Anolis sagrei: one gene and its partner. The protein of the gene in region 1 interacts with the protein of each later gene in a pairwise test. Links are inferred from orthologs where the notes say so. Each region holds a gene or a part of one and is shown in the gene's direction. Other genes may lie near its edges.

The links.
Region 2: the proteins of FEZ2 (region 1) and SCOC interact in binary tests that used the Homo sapiens proteins (3 or more experiments, as listed by UniProt). The link is inferred for Anolis sagrei from reciprocal best matches to the Homo sapiens genes FEZ2 and SCOC.

The regions. Positions count from the first base shown.
Region 1 is NC_090021.1:51,567,658-51,577,926, reverse strand, and holds the start of FEZ2 (fasciculation and elongation protein zeta-2), read left to right. Parts: upstream 1-5,067; 5' UTR 5,068-5,106; coding exon 5,107-5,384; intron 5,385-7,808; coding exon 7,809-7,917; intron 7,918-10,269. UniProt on the Homo sapiens protein: Involved in axonal outgrowth and fasciculation.
Region 2 is NC_090025.1:45,271,919-45,282,767, forward strand, and holds the start of SCOC (short coiled-coil protein), read left to right. Parts: upstream 1-6,842; 5' UTR 6,843-6,860; coding exon 6,861-7,024; intron 7,025-9,584; coding exon 9,585-9,658; intron 9,659-9,744; coding exon 9,745-9,828; intron 9,829-10,849. UniProt on the Homo sapiens protein: Positive regulator of amino acid starvation-induced autophagy.

The DNA.
Region 1 (10,269 bases):
GATATGAAAATACAGAACCATAAAGAGGTAGATTGGGGAGCTTGAAGTTTACTGTCTGTAGCCCCGATAGCTGAATTAGCAGACAGGTCTTGCCCTGGCACATTAGCGGCAATATGATTCTGTTCGTATTATTTTGGAATAATTTATAATTTTGCATCTGTACAAATTGTCACACACAGTTTTATAGAAATTTGTGTCATTTTTTTGATGAGGAATGTTCTGGAGTGGAGGCAGAGGCTGATGTTTAGGTGGGAACCTTGTGTGTATCTGTCCCTTTAATTCACCTGAAAACATGGCAACCCTATGAATTACATGTAGTTTTTTAAGGCGAGAGATATTTGGAGATGGTTCCTTTCTACTCTAAATACATCATAAGGTGACCACCATAAGTTGGAAACAATTTGAAGCCAAGTAGCAACAAAATTTACGAAAATAAGAGATGGGAAAAGTTGGGAGAAAGCAACGGATTGTCACCGAGGTCAATCTCTGACTCATACATAACTTTTCTAAAGAGTTTCTCATCTCTACTGATAGATGGATATAGATAGATATCTCAAACCCAAATGGTTCACCAAATAGTTGTTCACCAAATGGTTCTTCATCCTGGAAAAAAGTGACTAGTGGGGGCCACAGGGTTCTGTTCAAGGCCTGGTGCTGTTTGACATCTTTATTAATGACTTGGATGAAGATTTAGAGAGTGTGCTTATCACGTTTGCAGATGACATTAAATTGGGAGGAATCAGAGGACAGGATCAGAATCCAGAATGATATTAACAGATTAAAGAGCTGGGCCAAAACTAACAAAAGGAGTTTCAACAAGGAGAAGAGTAGAATACTTCACTTAGACAGAAAAAAATGAAATGCAAACAGCATGGATGATGCCTTGCTTAGCTTGACAATAGTACATCTGAAAAAGAACTTGAAGCCTTAGTAAACAACAAGTTGAACATGAGCCAACTGTGATGCAGCAGCTTAAAAAGCCAATGGAATTTTGGTTTGCATCAAAAGGAGTCTAGTGTCTAGATCGAGGGAAGTCATGCTGCCTCTTTATTCTGCTTTGGTCAGGCCTCACCTGAAATACTGTGTCCAATTTTGGGCACCACGATTCAAGAGAGATATTGACAAGCTGGAAGGTGTCCAGAGGAGGACAATAAAATGATCAAAGGTCTGGAGACCATGCCCTATGAGGAACGTCGTAATGAGCTGGGTATGTTTAGCCTACAGAAGAGAAGGTTGAGGGGATGCCATAAGGGAGAGGCATATACATATATACATATACATATATATATATATAAGGGCTGTCCAAACACGCAAAAATTTGTTTCTGAACTCGATTCGTTTTTAGGGGTTTTTTCCAAAATTTTCCTTAAAAAAAAGTTCGATATTTACGAAATTTCGGAAATCATAAAACAATTACGAATCGATTACGAATCGATTCGTTAATGGCGGCCACGATCGCGCAATACGCTAAAAAAACTTCAGAAGCTTCCCTCTCCCTCTGTTGTTGACTGTTGGTGTGATAATTATATATTTTTCACTGAGAAAACAAACAGCAACCCTAAAACTTGCACCAGACATGCGGAAATAATAACGAATCAATAACGAATCAATTACGAAACGAATTGGAAAAATTCGTTTCGTTTTTTAGTTGCTCCTGAATGATTCAATATCGCTTCGTTATAAAAAAAAATAACGAATTTTTAACGAATTACGAAATTACGAAACGAAACCGCCCAGCCCTAATATATATATATATATAATATATCAATGTATGCATGTATGTATCACAAAGGCTGTTGCTAGGTGAAGTGGCCCTTTGTGATATTACTGAATTGCTGTTGCTAGGTGAAGTGACACCCTGTGATGTCACTGGGAAATAAAGATGACATGTATAAGGGATGAAAGAGCGACAAAGAGCATTCCCACTGTTGCTATAGCATGGCGATATTGTGAGGTAAGCCTTCTCAGAGATGGAGAAAAGAAAAATTAAGTGGGCAGCGGCCCCAACAACAGTGGAGCAACAGCAGGTACATACACTAGTTTATAATAAATAATGTAAGAAAATGGAAATCCAGGCAATGCTGGAGATATACTCTTTTCCAGGCACAAATGTGATAAATTCTATGAAACATTCCTACAAATGATTATTGCATGGAAGACCATTCAAACAGCACAACAGAGAAGACTGAAATAAGTTGAGGTTTCATCCTGTGCCGTAGGGTTGCCAGGTGTTACTTATGATGCAGATGTCCCTTTTAGGGCTAGTCCCTTACTATGAGGGATGTCCTCTATCTGATGGGTGGAAAACTTTTTGTTTTATGAGTTGAACATAAACTCACACCTACTCAAAATTCATACTTTGCAATGTGGGCTCTTCATAAAGACAGAAATAATAATTATTATAATGTGAGTCACCTAAGGGCTGAGAAAAGCAGTATAGAAATAAAGTAAATAAATCTTCAGGAAATTTACAAATTAGTTTCACACTGTTGTGCCTCAATGATATGGAATCACAGGCGTTCGTGCCAAATTTTCCATGGTCCCATAGCTCTGAGCCATGGCAGTTCAAGTGATGTCAAACCGCATTGATTCTATGGTGTGGATGCAGCAGTAGACCAGTATTGAGTCCACTACACCACACTAGCAGCATCATCATCATAATCCTCCTCTTCCTCCTAAGAATATTCCACACACACACAACGTACCATTGCAACTCAAAGCATCTGTATATCATTTATTTATTTACTTATATCCTTTATTTATTTACTGCTTCTTGGCAGGGGGTTGGACTGGATTGCCCATGAGGTCTCTTCCAGCTCTATGATTGTATGATTCTATTTTAATCGCAACTTTCTCCTAACTAAGGTGGCTAATTATATGTTTGACCAACTCTGTTGATGGTGCAGTCAAACACTGGTTAGATCAGATAAGGGCAAACCTGCAGGTGTTTTGGACTTCAACTCCCACTCCTAACAGTTGATAAAGTCCAAAACACCTGGAAGATCGAAGTTTGCCCATGCCTGGGTTAGATCAAACTAAATTAAGTGGAACCAGGCTCGTAGCCAGGATTTTGATTCGGGGAGGGGGGGGGGGGCTGAGTCTGAGTGAAAGAGGGTCTAGCCTAGCAAACCTTTTGTATCGTTACTCCAATACCCCCATGCATATGGGATATATTGAGTATGGTGATCAGATCATGATATGAATAAACATAACAGTTTAAATAATGCACCACTAAGGCCTTCACCATGAGAATTTCGGGGGGGGGGGGGCTCAAGCCCCTCAAGCCCCCCCCCCCCCCGGCTACATGCCTGAGTGGAACCATTGCCTGCTTGTCATGAAGAACGTTGGTAGCCCTTTATTGCCATTCTGGCAGTGCAGGGTGCGTCTACACCACTGGTTCCCAATCTGCGGTCCGTGGACCACCAGTAGTCCACAAGAACTAAAATATGATCCACGGCCTCGCCATTACTACACTGTTTCAACTAGGGTGACTGGCCTCGCAAAACACTCTTGTAGTGCCAAGACTTATTAAATATGGTTTTCTGTGGGTAAGCACTCACCAGGCTAAAACAGTGGCTCTTAATGAGGCATGCCACATTGGTATGAATCAATGGCTGATACCAATTGAGAGACTCCCTCCTGGGCACACAGAAAACTGGATGACTTGGAAGGCGCTGAACAGACTGCGCTCTGGCACCACGAGATGCAGAGCCAACCTTAAGAAATGGGGCAACAAAGTGGATTCCACAACATGCGAGTGTGGAGAAGAGCAAACCACAGACCATCTACTGCAATGCAGCCTGAACCCTGCCACATGCACAATGGAGGACCTTCTTGCAGCAACACCAGAGGCACTCCCAAGTGGCCAGATACTGGTCAAAGGACATTTAATAGAATGCCAAGTTTGCAAACTTTGTGTGTTTTTTTAATGCAATACAACTGTTCGGTCCACTCCTGACACGATAAATAAATGTGGGCGAGCAGATGGTGACTACTGGATGGCATATGTTCTGTATCAGAAACTAGAGCTGATGTGGTTTATCTAATGCAGTTTTCTGAATCAGCACCCCAAGTAACCAAACTAAATCTAAAGTTGACCAAAAACAGATTCGTAACCCTTTTGGTATTAACGTAGGAGAGTGGTCCCTGGTCAAAAAAAGGTTGGGAACCACGGATCTACACAGTAGAATTAATACAGCATGACACCACTTTAATGGCCATGGGTCAGTCCTGTGGAATCGTGGGAATTGTTGTGATTTATAAGGCATTTCACAATCTCTGCAAACGACTGCTAGTGCCCACCAATATTCAATAGCATTGAGCCATGGCAGCTCAAGAGGTGTCAAACTGTATTAATTTTAAGAGTGTAGACCAGGCATGGGCCAACTTCGGACCTCCCTCCAGGTGTTTTTGGACTTCAACTCCCACAATTCCTAACCGTTTGCCCATGCCTATCTTAGATGCACCCGAGGCCATTTTTTTTGTCGTGTCTGGAACAACTTGAGAAACTGCAAGTCGCTTCTGGTGTGAGAGAATTGGCCATCTGCAAGGACGTTGCCCAGGGGACTCCCGGATATTTTTTGATGTTTTACCATCCTTTTGGGAGGCTACTCTCATGTCCCCGCATGAGGAACGTTCAGCAGTGGAACTCTCTGCCCCGCAGTGTGGTGGAGGCTCCTTCTTTGGAAGCTTTTAAGCAGAGGCTGGATGGCCATCTGTCAGGGGTGTTTTGAATGCAACATTCCTGCTTCTTGGCAGGGGGGTTGGACCGGATGGCCCATGAGGTCTCTTCCAACTCTTTGATTCTATGATTCTCTATGATTCTAGGGAGCTCCCTGGATTCGAACCTGCGACCTGTCGGTCTTCAGTCCTGCCGGCACAGGAGTTTAACCCTCTGCGCCACCGGGGCCAATGGGAAGGAAGCGCCGCCTGTCACTGTCAGAGAAGGGCATAAGCCCCGCCTCAGCAATCGGGAAAAGGGGGCGGGGCTTATATTCTCTGACAGTGACAGCTAGGAGTGCGCGCTCCCGATGGCTGAGGCGGAGCCTGTGCGTGCGTACGCACGTACGTAAGCGCGTAGCCGGGCCGCCTCACTCCCCCTCGGCGATGGCGGCCGCAATGGCGGCCTCGCAACGGGATCCTGCAGGCGACTGGCAGGACTTTTCGGGCTTCCAGCCCGCCGGGGAGGGAAGCGGGGCCCCGGAACCCTCGCCGGCTCGGGAAGAGGGCTCCTGGGGCGACGGAGGCAAGGGCTTGGCGGCGAAGCTGCCGCTCTGCTTCCAGCCGCCTCAGCCGACCGCGCCGACGCCTCCAGGGAGCGGAGAAGGAGAAGCCCGGCTCCCGCCGCCGCCCCTCAGCGAGCAGAGCGCCCTGCAGGAAGACGAGTGAGTGGCTCTTTCCCTCCGGCGTTCCGTGGTCGCTTCTCCCATTCCTTCCCTGCCATCCCTCCCCGCCCAAAGAGCCCTTGCCGACCTTTCCCGTTCTCCAGGCGTCGTGGACTTCAGCTCCCAGAATTCCTGCTGGTCGGTCAAGCTGGCTGAGGCTTCTGGGAGTTGAAGTCTCTTAGCCTCTGTCCATCAGGCCCGCGCAACCTGTGGCCCGCCAGGTGTTTTGGACTTCGGACAAGTGGCTAGGGTTTATGGGAGTTGGAGGGCCACAGGCCTGCTCTTCACTATAGAATGAATATAATAATAATAATAATAATAATAATAATATATTATTATTTGTCCCACCCTGGTCATACCACAGATATATCAACCCATTTTCCTAGTTCCAACAGACCTGACTACCTCTGAGGATGCTTGCAATAAATGCAGGCAAAACGTCAGGAGAGAATGCCTCTAGAACAGGGGTCCACAAACTTTTTAAACAGAGGGCCAGGTCACAGTCCCTCAAACTGTTGGAGGGCCGGATTATGATTTGAAAAACACATGAATGAATTCCTATGCACACTGCACGTATCTTATTTGTAGTGTAAAAATAACTTTAAAACAATACAATAATTAAAATGAAGAACAATTTTAACAAATATAAACTTATTAGTATTTCAATGGGAAGTGTGGACCTGCTTTTGGCTGATGAGATAGGATTGTTGTTGTTGTTGTTGTTGTTGTTGTGTGCTTTCAGGCTTAGGTTGACCCTGAGCGAGGGCCAGGTAAATGACCTTGGAGGGCCGCATCCGGTCCCCAGGCCTTAGTTTGAGGACCCCTGCTCTAGAACATGGCCATATAGCCCAAAAAAACCTACAAAAACCTATAATAATAATAATAATAATAGTTTTATTTCTTATCCTCTGCTCCTCATGGCTCGAGACTGGTTACAAAACAATTAGAATACGTAAACACAGCAAAAACACTACAAATACACACACTAAAACGTATTAAGACTTCAACACCTTAATATACAATCTCATGTTGGATACTAGAAACCCACCCTGGGTCTGTTGGCTGCTATAAACCATTTTATACTTTTAATTGAGATTTTATTACCATGTAAGTGCATTTGTTGAGATTTATTATGTTTATTTAATTGCTTATTTTTTGTTAGTTATTATAAGTTTATATTGATGCTGTTTCGATTTGGTTTGTTGGTTTTTTATTATGGCATTGAATGTTTGCCACTTTTTGCATGGACACTGCCCTGAGTCCCCTTGGGGAGATACAGCGGGTTATAATTAAAGTATATTATTATTACCTCCATAAAAGTTACGTACCAGAATGTATCTCTATGAAATACATATTAAAACAGAGATTAAACAAAGGGCATGCCTTAAAATTCATGTTTATGTTTAAAGGCTGTCAGTGTAGGTCTACCAAAGAGACAGGTCTTCACTTCTTCACTTCTGTCTTAAATTAAAGGACTGTGTTGGAATTTAGTCTCCTGTGGAGTTATGGACATTTTCAATCAGAAACAAATTTCAGCGTATTTGGCTTCCAAGTTAAGTGTGTAGGAGTCTGCAAGCTAATGATGTGAAGTTTCCATAGAAACATGGTCCTGGAACTTTAATCTGTAACAATTTAATATGCATGTTTGTCACAATATTTTAAACTGTCTTGCTTACTAGGCATATCTGTCATTCAGTTATTTCTTCACAAGCACTGGAATGATGAGAGATCTATGAGTTGTGCTCTAATATACAACTTATTTCCTGTTTTGTTAAATAGAGTACAAATAAACCCCTGATAAATAATAAATGAAATATCCCCTTCTAGACAGAATACTGAACTAGACACATTCACAATGTAATCCAGCAAAATAATTCTTAATGTTCTAGTTAAGGAAAGAAACTTAGAAGTGAATTTTGACTGATTCCTCCATTCCACACATTATTTTCTTTGGCTAACAGTAGATGCAAAATTAATTGTTTCTGGTAACAATTAATTTGCACATGAAATAGCAAATATTGATGGATATGCAGCTAATACAGGTGCTCCTGTATCGCAGACAATTCTTCTTTGAAGTTTATTTAGCAGTGCATTGTACATAATTTGGTTGGACATAATTGGTGTAGGTCAGTGATCCTCAACCTGTGGACCCCCAGGTATTTTGACCTATGACTTCCAGAAATCTCAGCCAGTTTACCGGCTGTTAGAAATTCTGGGAGTGCAAGGCCAAAACATCTGGGGACCCACAGGTTGAGAACCACTGGTGTAGATAGACCAACAATGTGTACTGTAGGGACAGCTTTGGGGTGCCTCTAACCAAAGTATTTAAATGTATACTGTTGATAGTATTTTTTATGACATTTAGAATAGTGATTGCTGTATACTTTGAAAGCTGGATGTTTATTACTTAAATTTTGTCTTCAGGATTTGGAACGCTCTGACTGACAATTATGGCAATGTCTTGCCAGTTGACTGGAAATCTTCCCATACCAGAACACTCCACTTGCCAACACTGAATCTTTCTGAAAAGGGGGTTAGTATTGTCTTTTCTGCTTGGAATTGTGGCTTAGAAAAAGATTGCCTCACCTTCTAGTGAAGTTTATTGCCATAAATTTCTTCATATTCTGATTGCACCATATCTTTCCTCTTTAAAATATATGTGACAGATACCCCAATACCCAGTTAAGGGATACAAATGTGATAAAAGTATGTGTGCCTTTTTTGCTTCACTGCTTTCTTACAGTTGCTGTTCTGTATATGGTTGAACATGTGCTCATTTTCTAGAAAATACCAGGATTATCTCTGGTCTTTGTCAGGGTCTCTGACATGAGAATCAGAACATCTCATTCTATAAAAGCTGAGGTAGTTAGTGAGAAGGCTAAAGACATTGAGAAACTACAACTCCCATGATTTGATAGCATTGAACCATGACAGCTAAAGGAATACCAAATGGCATTTATCCTACCATTTGGGTGCACCCCTAGTTTGCTAAAACAGATTTAGCAAGAAGTATATTTACTAATCCCTGGTAGACCTTATGATTTCTGAATTTATTTTTGACTAATGTATGTTTGTTTGATTGATTGTAATTCTCCATCTGCATCCTCCGTCTTAACACATTCACTGGGTATCAGGTATGCACATTCCATTTAGTTGAGGGTGAGGGCACCTAATTCTTAAAAGTTAAAAGACTTCCTTTAGAATGTTTAGAAAGCACCTCCTCCACAATGTATGTGTAGAGAAAATAAAAATATTTTACTTTAGTGATAATCAAACAATATTTTATTATTATGCCTGAACATCAACAAACAGATATTAACTCTGATTATACTTAATGAAAATAAGTTAGCTTCAAACTATAGATTGAATCTCTAAATCATAATTAAACTTAAACTACACTTTCTCTAGACTTGAACATGTTATAACTGACCTGAAATTAAGCAATAGCATTTTCAGCTGAGAGGAACTGTCACTAGATCTAAGCTGTTGGAACCAGGGGACAATTTTGGATCTACCAAGCTTTGAACTGTGTGAACTTACCCCTCCAGCAGCGCAAATATTTCTCCTTTCTGTACCTGTCTGATTGTGAGAGCTATTCAGGAAGCAGCTATTCATTAACCATTTAATATCAGCTAAATAACTGAGCAATCATTAAAGTTGTGGAAACATGATAAATCCATAGTTATGTACATTTCATTGATTTGTTGAGTCAACTCTCATTAGAACTTACCAATTGTTAATCAAAGCCTTTTGTTATTCCTGGTTAAATATTGGAGAATAATAGGCTCGTTTACAAAGTTCATGATATTCATCCAACAGCCTAGGGTTTTTTTTCTTTAGAGAAATAACTGAAGAAAAAAAATTAAAAAGACTGCTGACTTTTACTTTGTCCAAGGGAGAGTTTTTTAAAAAAAAACATTGGATTGTAAACTACATTTTTTTCATTGAGTACAAACTAAATTGGTCTGCAGAGAACATCCAGTACAACTATATTAAGACTAGAATGCAATACAGGCAAGGCTTCTTGCAGACTGGGCTTATTTAGCTTAGGAGTGGAAATGTCAAGTAAGGGAAGATGTGATAGAGGTGTATAAAATTAAGAAGTGTATGGGGAATGTGGATAGGAAGAACATGTTTTCTGAACTGAAATGATTAAAAGATTCAGGAGAGATCAAAGAAGGACTTTGTTCACGGAACCTGTAGTTAAGCTGTGGAATTTGCTACCATATGAGGTAGTGACAACTGCCAATTTGGATGGCTTTACAAATTTGTGGAGAATAGACCTAGCTATGGCTGTTGGCCTTGATGGATAATATACCCCTTTTAGTGTCAAAGGCAGCCTGCTTATGCATTTTAATTTCTGGGAAAATAAGGGTGCTTTCTGGGTAGCTTAAAGGTGTTGACTGACCGTTGTGTGAACACACTACATAGCATTTGGCTTGATGGTAATGATTCAGGCATGTCAGAAAAATATCACCCTCTATCGTCCACAAACCTAATTTTTCCTCTCTTAACAAATCAACATAGCTGCCTATGTTTTATGTGTCCTTAGTACTTCTGTGGCTGTTGTTAACAAGTTCTTGGAGGGTATCTCCATGCATTCTGTGAATGCATATCAGAGCTTGGCTACAAGTCCTTTTAGACATTTTAGGACCCTTCCGCATAGCCAAATAACCAAGGCAGATAATCCACAATATCTGTTTTGAACTGGTTTATCTGAGTCCACACTGCCATATCATCCAGTTCAATGTGGATTATATACATCTGTGTGGAAAGAACTTTAGTCTGTGTGAGGGATCCTAACAAATCATAAGATACTTGGGTTTGGGGGTGGATATATGTAATGCGTGACTAATTCCTGTTGTTCACTTGTGTGTGTCTTTCC
Region 2 (10,849 bases), on another chromosome or scaffold:
CTAATCAATAAAATTATGCATATAAAAACCACAAACAAAGTTAAAAATTTGGCATGTCCTTTGACCAGAAACTGGCCATTTTGAGTGCCTCTGGTGTGGTTGTAAGGAGGTCCTTCATTGTGCATGTGGCAGGGCTCAGATTGCATTGTAGTTAGTGGTTTATGGTTTGCTCTTCTCCACACTCGCATGTTATGGACTCCATTTTGTATCCCCATTGCTTAAGGTTGACTCTGCATCTCATGATGCCAGAGCGCAGTTTGTTCAGTGCCTTCCAAATCGCCCAGCCTTCTGTGTGCCCAGAAAGTATTTACTCATCTGATATCAGCCACTGATTGAGGTTCTGGGTTTTGACTTGCCACTTTTGGGCTCTCGATTGCTGAGGTGTTCCTGCGAATATCTCTGTAGATCTTTGGAAGCTGTTTTTTCATTTAAGGCATTGGCTTGCTGTCTGATATCTGAACAGAGGATGAGCTGGAGATATCAATGCCTTGGTCCATCCATTGCTGTCTGCTACTTCCCGGTGGATGTCAGGTGGTGCAACACTGGCTATACAGTACAATTTCTCCGGTAGTGTTGGGCATAGAACATCCTGTGATAATGTGGCATGTCTCATTAGGCAGCATTGCTATGAAAACTGGGAAATATAAACATTAAAGTTATCAATATTATTATCATGTATCCACAGAGATCTACACATAATTCCAACAAATATTGTTTCACCAAAAAAAGAAAACAGAAACTAAAAACGGAGAGTTCCATGAGTCAGTGTCACTCTAATTTATGTATTTCCCATGAAAGATGTAGAAACAATGTCGTGTATGTCTGGAGCTAAATTGTGTGGCTGGGAAAGGAATTAGCAGAAGAAGACAGCTCTATCTGTATCTTGATTCCTGACACTACATTTCCCTACTTGTGGTTTTAAAACCACTGTCTTTCACTAGGCTTTGCATGATAATTCCCAAGAGGGTCAAAGGATATTACATCTTGTTCATTCAAATGAAGGCATTGAGCCAATTTATTAGATTCTGCTTATGAACTTCAAAGAGATTTAAATTTCTTTCTTTCTTATTTAAAAAAGAGGATAGTGGAGAGAAAAAAGAAAGAAAGAAACAGCCTAGACATTGTTTCTTTCTTACTATCACAAACTGCAGCGTGCTGGTTGTTTTCCTTGAGCCCTAAATTAAATCAACTGAAATTAGGTGAAGTGGTGCATTCTGACAGCATCATAGAAACCATGCCATGCCAGGGGCCTGAAATGACCTCTTAGTTGCTAGGTTGGTTTTGCAATCAAGACAGCAGACCGTGTCTTGGTGCGGAGACAAAGATTTTCTTCATTCTAGCAACAATTTGCAACCAATAGGAGAGTGTCACTGGCAAATTCCAAAGTCACAACCCCAGTACTGGATGCATGTTTTCAGGGATTAAAAAGGATTATATGGGTTTAAAAAGGCCTTTTCTGAAGGCAAACAGCTTGTAGCAACTCTAATTATATTATCTGTGCGACAGAAAGTTTCAGGATCATGCGTAAATCCCCTCATATTCTGGGTTACTTGATATTTTTATATAAACACTAGCTGTACCCACCACACATTGCTGTGGCCAACCTGCCCTCCTTCTTTCTCTTCTACTTTCTTTCTCTCCTTCCTTCCCTTTTTTCTTCTCTCCTGCCTTTCTTCTCTTCCTCTTCCTTTCCTCCTCCCCTCTTTTTTTCCCTTCTTCTTTCTCCCCTTTCTTCCTTCTCTACCTATTCTTGGCCTGCAACTGCCAGCAGTCCTCCTCATTGATCTACCTACCTACCTACCTACCTACCTACCTATCTCTATCTAGTCTATTTACCTTATCTATCTGGAGGATTGCTGGGAATTGCAGTCCTATCTCTATCTAGTCTATTTACCTTATCTATCTGGAGGATTGCTGGGAATTGCAGTCCAGGAATAGAAAATTGGAAATATGCAGGGACTGGAATGCTCTCAAAGAAATCCAAGAAGAAAGCTTGCAGTTTGGAAGCAGTGCATTTGGATCATCCTCCTCTCCTAAAGGGCCAGGTCTAGGGGATGCTGGGAGCTGTAGTCCAGAAGACAGTGTGGATATACTATTGTATGTGTTGTTTGCCAGGGGGAGACGTTTTTGCACATGCGCTATACCATCTTTTGGCTTCTTTGGCTTTTTTTAAAATTATTTGGAATATGTTGCTCCTTAGATGGAGCAGATAGAAAGAAAGAAAGAAATTGGAAAAAAATAATATTTACATGGAAAGAGTGGGAACAATATTTTCAGCAAAGATTGGAAACGTGGGAAGAGAGAATTAAGAACAAGGAAGGTGGGGAAACAAAATGGAAAAAAAAGAGGGGGGGGTGCCGGTTAAGATACTTCCAGGAGTTCCCTGGGCAGGTAATTGGGAAGTTTGTTGTCTGAAATAGTCCCTTTGTTGTCTTTTATTCTTATTAATAAGTCGTCGGCTTCCCATTGATGGTCCATTGAGTTTCTTCATTGTAGATTACTGATACAAATTTCCTTATTTAAGTTTTTAATATACTCCAGAAAATTTCCCCAATCTGTCTTGGGTAGTTTCGCTATATTCTGTGATATTTTTTGAGTTAAGATGTCCATGTTCATAATATCCCATACTTTTAACAGCTATTGTTCTGCTGTAGGGGTTTTATTAGATCTCCAAATTCTGGCTATTACTATTCTCGCCGCTGTGGTAAAATAAAAAAATATTTTTTTTGAATTTTTGTCTTTGATGGTGTTGCATCCCAGACCAAGAAACGAGACCATAAGATTAAATCCACCACACTGGACTGTAGGAAAAACAATCCTTTTTTATTGCTGAAAAAATGGTTACAAAAGAAAGTTAAATGCAAAGTCAAAAAGCCACCATAGAAACACAGCAGTCAGGAAAATCTCTGAACTTGAGCAAAAGTCCAAAAACACACAAGACAAGAACCAGGAACCTGTTAGCCTCTCGCTAACCATGTACTTGAAAAACTAGAAGCCTCTGGGATTACCGGGAATGGAACACAGGAATTCTGCCAAGGCACAGCCACAGTCCCAAACGTTGCTTGATCTAAGGAGGCACCCGGCAGGCGGCCCCTTATACCAAAGAAACTATTCCTTGAAACGCCCCTTGACTTTGAAGCCTGAGCCTGTCTCTCCTGTAATCTATTTGACCTTCGTAGGAACTGTGAATCACTCCTGTCTCTCATTATCTGTTCCCGTCGGTCCTCATTAAAAAACCCAGGTGGAGAGCTATCATGGCTGGATTCCAAAACATTTTCATCTGGCTGTTCAGTTTTGTTTTCCCCGCCACTGAACTCAGCATCAACACCAGTTTCCACATTGTCAGGGAAAACTACATGTTCAGTGGCTTGCTCAGTTGGAAATACTATCAGAGAATCAGGTTCACACAGATCAGATTCACACAGATCAGGCTGAACCCCAACAGATGGAGTCTATGATCCCTAATAACATTGCCTCTGGCTTAAACTCTATTTTTACCTTTAATATCGTTCCGATTATTTTATAAATTTAATGCCAGAAGCTCTTTATCTTTTTGCAATTCCACCACATGTGAAAATAATTTCCTTTGTGTCTTTCGCATTTCCAGCAAACATCACTAATTTTAACTTTACTGAACTTAGATATCTTTTCCGGAGTAAAATACCATCTATAAAATGCTTTATACCAATTCTCCTTGAGTTCAGATGCATAGGTGTACTTTATTTTAATGCACCAAATATAAACCATATGAAAACAATAGAGACAATAAAAACAATAAAACAAGTCTTCATGTGGCTAGCTAGAGAAAGGGAAGCCAGTTGGGCGGTCTCAGCTAGCCATGCAGAGATCCACTCCACAGCCCAACTCAGATTGAACAGCTGAGATGGGGGTGGGAGTCTGCATGTTGGTGCTCGGGGGTGAGAAAATGGGGGCTAAGCTGGTCCTTGGGAGACTCGAGGAGAGGTGTAGGGATGGGGGGCTATCTCCAATTTGTTTGGAAAACTATAATTCTCACAGGTCAAACTATATATCTCTTTTATGGGGTGGTGGTGGAAGTCTTCAATATCAACGAAGAATCGATTTAATATAACTTTTTTTTATACTGGCCAATTAATGTAGAAGAGGGGTGCAGGTGTCACAGTACTATAGATCATGTGAGTTCCAGTATAATAGATAGGCACAACTGGGGGGAACAACAGCAAATGCCATGTCCTACTATATCTTGACAGCAGGGATCCGATTAATATGCACTTTTTGCACTATTTATTTATTTACAGCATTTATATACCGCTTTTCCCACCCCTAGGGGGACTCAAAGCAGTTTCTTTGAGTATACAATTCTTTAGTGTATTTTTTATATTTTTTCCATCTCAACTACCACTTTAATGAAGGCTGCCAAAGCTATGTTATGCTCCTTTAAAAGCAAAAACATGGTTTTAATTAATTTTAACTCAATCATTGACAATATCTTGCATTTAGCTCTAGAATCTGTATTGAAATATTTGCTAAATTGTGGGTTTTGAGAGCTGAGCATGGACAACTATTGTCAGCTGGCTTTTTCTGTATAAGTGATTGCCCATATATTGTGTTGTCTATTTCTGCCTTGCAATGCAAAAGGTTCCAATAGTGCTGGTGCTTAGCACCATAGATCTTCTGTGGTTCAACAGTATGCATTTTACCCACAAATAAACTACACTAGGTTCAGTGATGCACAAGCTTATTGTATGTTCAGTGAGCATTACTGTATTGATGTGGAATGGAAACAGTGGTTCTTATTGCCCTCCATTTGGGATTTTAGACTGCCGATTGACCTATCTTAAAGCAATATTTTCATGATTAATATGAAGTAATTTTGTAAACTTTTGGGTTAGATCTAAACGGGCAACATTAATTTGTAATATGTTTTTAAGCACAAGGGCTCATTTAATGCATCTGATAAATTCAGCAGCTGCTAGCAAAAAATAATATATGTGAGTCTGTAAGGTATTGTGCGACTTTGTTTTTCGGATTTTGATGCAATACTCTAATATGACTACTTAGTCATGAATTAAATGCCAGTGGGTGAATTCTAAGTATATTCTATTATTAGAATAGAACATTCCTATTAAAGTGCCTAAGGATCTACCCACTGTTTCTGAGGCAACATATTTGTGTCAGTGTTTCCTTTCTAAAACAGAAGAAATGCAGATCCCGATGTCACTGGAGGCAAAGCTTGTGACACAGTCTCTCTACACATCCTGCAAATCATGTAGCTCTCCAAATATTGTTCAGCTGCAAGCATTAGTACCACCAGCCTCCCAGATCCAGGGGCTCTTAGATGATATGGATTATCTTGATCCATTTCAACCTGTTTTCATGCCTGACTGTTGGACAGGAAAAGATTTTATTCCCTTGGTGGATTATCTTTATTAGAAACCAGACAAGAGTGTGTGTTTCTGTTGGAAGTTGTAGATATAAATAAATAGAAGCTTTACCACTGTTTCTGAACCAAAATATACCCTGCAGTATAATAAAATGTCACTCAGGCTTGTGTAACAAGTAACAATATCTTTACTACCGTTCAAAAGATCAAACAGAGCAACAATACACACACACACACACATAGAGCAGTCTGTCTGTCTGTCTGTCTCTCTCTCTCTCTATATATATATTCTGTTTATTCCCTCTGTTCTCACACAGAGAACAGAGGGAATAAACAGTCCTTTTCAACTGTCTTTAAAATATGCTTCATGCCTTAGAAATGATCAGGCTTCAGAGAGTTGGCAGCGCTCTCTTCACTCTCCAAGGTGAAAGTGGCAGTTCAAATAGTTTGTCTCAGCAGCAAGCCAGAGACAGCAGTCAACCAGAATTCTGGCCCCTGGCATACTCAGCCAATCCACATGCCTTTCCAGTCAACCCATTGCATCATAGTGCTTTTTTACAAATCCCCACAAATTCTGCGGGGTCTCTCAATAATTTTGATAATATTGACCATGGTAGCCTTCTAGGATGTTTTCCTGAGACTGGAAGTGTTGTTTTATAATGGCTCCATTCCTTCCCTGGGGATTCAACTTATAAAGCACAGTAGACCCCACTTTTGTTGGAGTTAGGGCCAGAGGATCGCTTGTGCATTGAAAAACGCTGGCTTTTATATTTAATCACACGTCAGACACTTCCTTAGTGTCTAGGACTGTGTGATGTATCAGCGAATAATGTGTGGAGATCCGAGTAGGGTGACCCTTTGCATGTGACAGATGGTAATTTTGTCAGTGCCGATTGTTTTTAAGTGCAGGCCAAGGTCTTTAGGACTGCACCCAGTATACCGATCACCACTGGGACCACCTTGACTGGCTTGTGCCAGAGTCTTTGCAGTTCTATCTTTAAATCCTCATATTGTGTATTATTATTATTATTATTATTATTATTAATACCCTGTTTTCTTCCTAGTTAAAAACCATTAAAACACCACAGCACCCCCTGAATTGGTCTTAAAACCTTGAAAAGCGGTATAGAAATGCAGTAAACAATAATCTTTACAAGCCTATCTAAATAAAAAGCCTGTCCCTTTCTAAAATGCATGGGAAAACAATATCTAAAAAGACCTTACAACTCTCGCGAGAGTTGACACTCTCATAAGGGAAAAGAGACAAGGGCGGTAACAGAAGCCCCGCCCCCTCTGTTTTCCTTCCTCCGCTTCCAGCAGCGCCAGGCAAACCGGCAAAGACAGGCCACGCCCACAGCCGGCGGGATGCCTTTGGAAGCGAGTCGGCCGATGAGTCCCCTCTTTTCATTGGCTACTCTGCGAAAAGCCGTCGGTCATTCCTTCGCTGTGATTGGTGGGCCCATCCTCAACCCTTTTCGGTGGTTGTTTTCATCGACGCATGGCGCGTGCGCAGTTTGGTCCTGGGCCAAAAGAGGATAGCCGCGCAGGCGCAGTGACCGCTTTTGAACTGGTGGGAAAGGCGCTGCTGGACGGGGTCCGAGGGTCACTTGGGCAGGTGACGGGCGCGCGCGCTCAAAGGCCTCGAGACAGAGAGAGAGAGAGGTGAGTGCGCGTGCGCAAAAGGGCGAGGGCTTTGGCTCCCTGAGGGATGGAGGAAGCTGCTTATGACAACAGAAGGAATCGAATGATTTGGGGCTGTTTGGGTGGGAATGCTTTGTGGGGGGAGGGGGGTCGACTTCTAGATGTCATTTAGAAGCCTATAAATAAATAGATAGGTAGATTAACAAAAGCAATAATTAAAAAACAGGATCCCCCACCCTCCAGTGTGGTGGGGACACATACTGTCAGGGAGGCTTCCTTCTTGGGATGCTCAAGGAAGGCCCTGGAAGGGAGAAGGTTGTTTCTTCTTCTTCCCTGATTGCATAAGGCTTTAGACTAGGATGAAGAGGAGTCAGCCTGTCTTGTGTGTAAAGCCTTGCATTCATTTGTGGCATCTTTCAGGCCCTTCACACCTTCAAGGAAGTGTCTTCCTCCCCACTTTCTCTTCATCCATCTTTTTGACTCACATTTGTTTCATCTAGAAATTAGATCTCATTCAGGATGAGGTTTGATTAAATGCATTGATATTATGGTCAGCCTACGTCTCAATGGAGGGAAGCAGCTAAAAGGGAAAAAAGGGACCAACACAAATACAGTATTTATTTTATTTATTTACTATATTTATATAGTAAATTCTCAGCCCGAGGGCAATTCAAGGCGGTTTACAAAACGGCACAATTCGATGCCCACAATAACATAAAAACAGTTAAAACATTTAGAATAAATAAAATTCAGTAAGTAATAAAACTGATAAAAACATAGATCCTCCATGTCTGCTTACCAAAATCGTTATCCATTTGCACTATCTAATTGCATTGTCCAGTCGTTCCAAAATCAGGGTTTGTCTGCTACACTGCATTTGAGAAAGCCTGCTCAAAAAGCCAGGTTTTGACTTTTTTACGAAATGTTAAGAGGGTGGGGGCCGATCTAATGTCCCTAGGGAGGGCGTTCCACAGCCGAGGGGCCACTGCTGAGAAGGCCCTGTCTCTCGTCCCCACCAACCAAACCTGTGAAGAAGACAGGATCGAGAGCAGGGTCTCCCCAGAAGATCTTAGATTCCTAGATGGTTCATAAGAAGAGATACGTTCAGTACAGTACATACAGTAGACCAGGCATGGGCCAACTGATACATTAAGTTCAGTTTTTCTTTATCGATTTGCTATTAATTATTGTATTTCAATATTAATATCAAGTCAGTACAAAGTTTATGGTGTGGCATAGGCTAGGCTAGGGCTATTTTGGATAGTAACTCTTAATAACCAGAAACTAGATTTATCTGGCATCTAGCAATCCTCATGGGTGGTAACTGATCTTCACAGATTAGAGAGACGATTGTCCAAAACTAACAAAATGAAGTTTCATCAGGGACAAATGCAAAATACTCCACAATAGCCCTCATCACACTAGATGAGGGGTTTGTAGTTTAGGGAGGAGCCTTTAACAGCCTCACTAAACTACAAACCTCCAAATTCTTGCAGGAGGCAGAACCAGATTTTAAGTGGATTTTTTCTCTAGTGTGATGAAATGATGGGCAGAAAAAATGAAATGCAAAAATACATAATGTGGGACACCTGGCTCGACAGCAGTACATGTGAAAAAGATCATGGAATCTTCATGGACAACAAGTTAAACATGATCCAACAATGTCATTTGGCAGCTTAAAAAGCCAATGGGATTTTGGGCTGCATAAATACGAATCTAGTGTCTAGATCCAGGGAAGTCATGCTACTCCTCTATTCTGCCTTGGTCAGACAACACCTGAAATACTGTGTCCAATTCTGGGTACCACAATTGAAGGGAAATGTTGACAAGCTGGAATGTGTCCAGAGGAGGGAGACTAAAATGATGAAGGGTCTGGAGAACAAGCCCTATGAGGAGCGGCTTAAAGAGCTGGACATGTTTAGCCTGCAGAAGAGAAGGCTGAGAGGAGACGTGATAGCCATGTATAAATAAGTGAGGGGAAGTAATAGGGAGGAGGGAGCAAGTTTGTTTTTTTGCTGCCCTGAAGACTAGGATGCAGGACAATGGCTTCAAACTACAGGAAACGAGATTCCACCTGAACATTAGAAAAAACTTCCTAACTGTGAGAGCTGTTCAGCAGTAGAACTCTCTGCCCCGGAATGTGGTGAAGGCTTTTTTGGAGGCTTTTAAACAGAGGATGGATGACCATCTGTTTGGGGTGCTTTGAATGCGATTTTCCTGCTTCTTAGCAGAAGTTTGACTGGCTGGCCCACAAGGTCCTTTTCAACTTTATTATTCTGTTATTCTAATGTCAGGAAAGCATTGTCCTTTGAGAAATAGGGGGGGGGGGGGAACTGTACTGAAGATGTGTGTGGTGGGAAAGTGAAATGTTCTATAATTCTCTTGATAGGTGATGTGTATATGTACGTATAGTCAGCCCTCAACATTCACTGTCTTTTGAAAAAGTCACTGAACCTGCACAGAAAAAAATGACTGCTTTTTTCACAGTCAAAATGTTAATGCAGATGCTACCCATTGAAATCATGGAATAAAAACCAGACTCTGTGTGCATACCACTGATCCTATTTTCTTCTTTTTAAACAGGACACATCACTGACATACGGTGTTCAAGAACAGATAAGATCTTTTCAACAATGATGAATTCAGATATGGATGGTAGATAGCATTTTTACTTTCTTTGTGTTTTCAGTCTTATGTATTATAAAATTTAGCTCTTCTAAAGATTATCTCTTTTATTCTAGCTATTGAGGCTGAAAATCAAGTGGAATTGGAAGAAAAAACACGTCTTATTAATCAAGTATTAGAACTGCAGCATACACTTGAAGGTTAGTGTTCTAGCTCAGAAGGGTAAGTTTATCTATATGCAAAATGAATTAGTATTGTCTGGGTAGATGCAGTTGCAAATAACTTTTGATGGGATAAATAGGCAAGAGATCTCAGAAATCTAGCTGTGGATTGTCCATCATTGTATGAGTTGCACAGCATTAAAGAAATGTCTAAAAGGAAGATCTGGTGTCAGATGATGACTTTTAATTCTAGAGTCTATAGGACATGGATAAAATAATTGTAGGGTTACATCCTTCTGTTTGTCTGCTTGCTCTTCGACCACATTGTTTCTTATCATTGAGCAAGGGGGTAGAAATTCCCCAGTTAAAAGAGATGAGTATACAAACCTGAAAATAGGTAGCTGTTTCCTTCTATTGACCATGGTAACCCATAAATAAATAAACAAACTTTATTTATACCCTGCCACCATCTCCTGAAAGGCACTCGGGGCGGCTCACAAAAGCCCCCCAGAGTCCTGCATATAAAATAAACAACCACCTAAGTATGAAAACAGTAACACATAAAACTATTGCAGCAACCACAACAAGCACACATAACATCACATAATAATAAAATTGTTAAAATTATAAAATACAGTATTATCTGTGGATAAAACTGGTTGTCATCAGTTAATGAACTAAAATGCCAGACTGTGTAAGCAATCATCACATACACCCATTTCAGTCTATTCAAGGTGAAAGGCCTGTTAAAAAATCCATATTTTTAGGCTGGATCGGAAGGATTCAAGGGTGAGGGCTAACCTAATCTCTTTTGGGAGGGTATTCCAGAGCTGGGGAGCCACCACAGAGAAGGCGCTCTCCCTCATCCCCACCAACCATACTTGGAACGGTGGTGGGACCGAGAGAAGGGCTTCCCTGGCAGATCTCAGAGCCTGCACGGTGGTCCTTATGTATGTGATCCATTTGTTACTGTTCTGTAGTGAGTTGTGACTGATGGGTAGTCCCTTGCACATTAGGGAAACAAGTGCCCATTCTCCACAACAGATTCCCAAGAAAATCT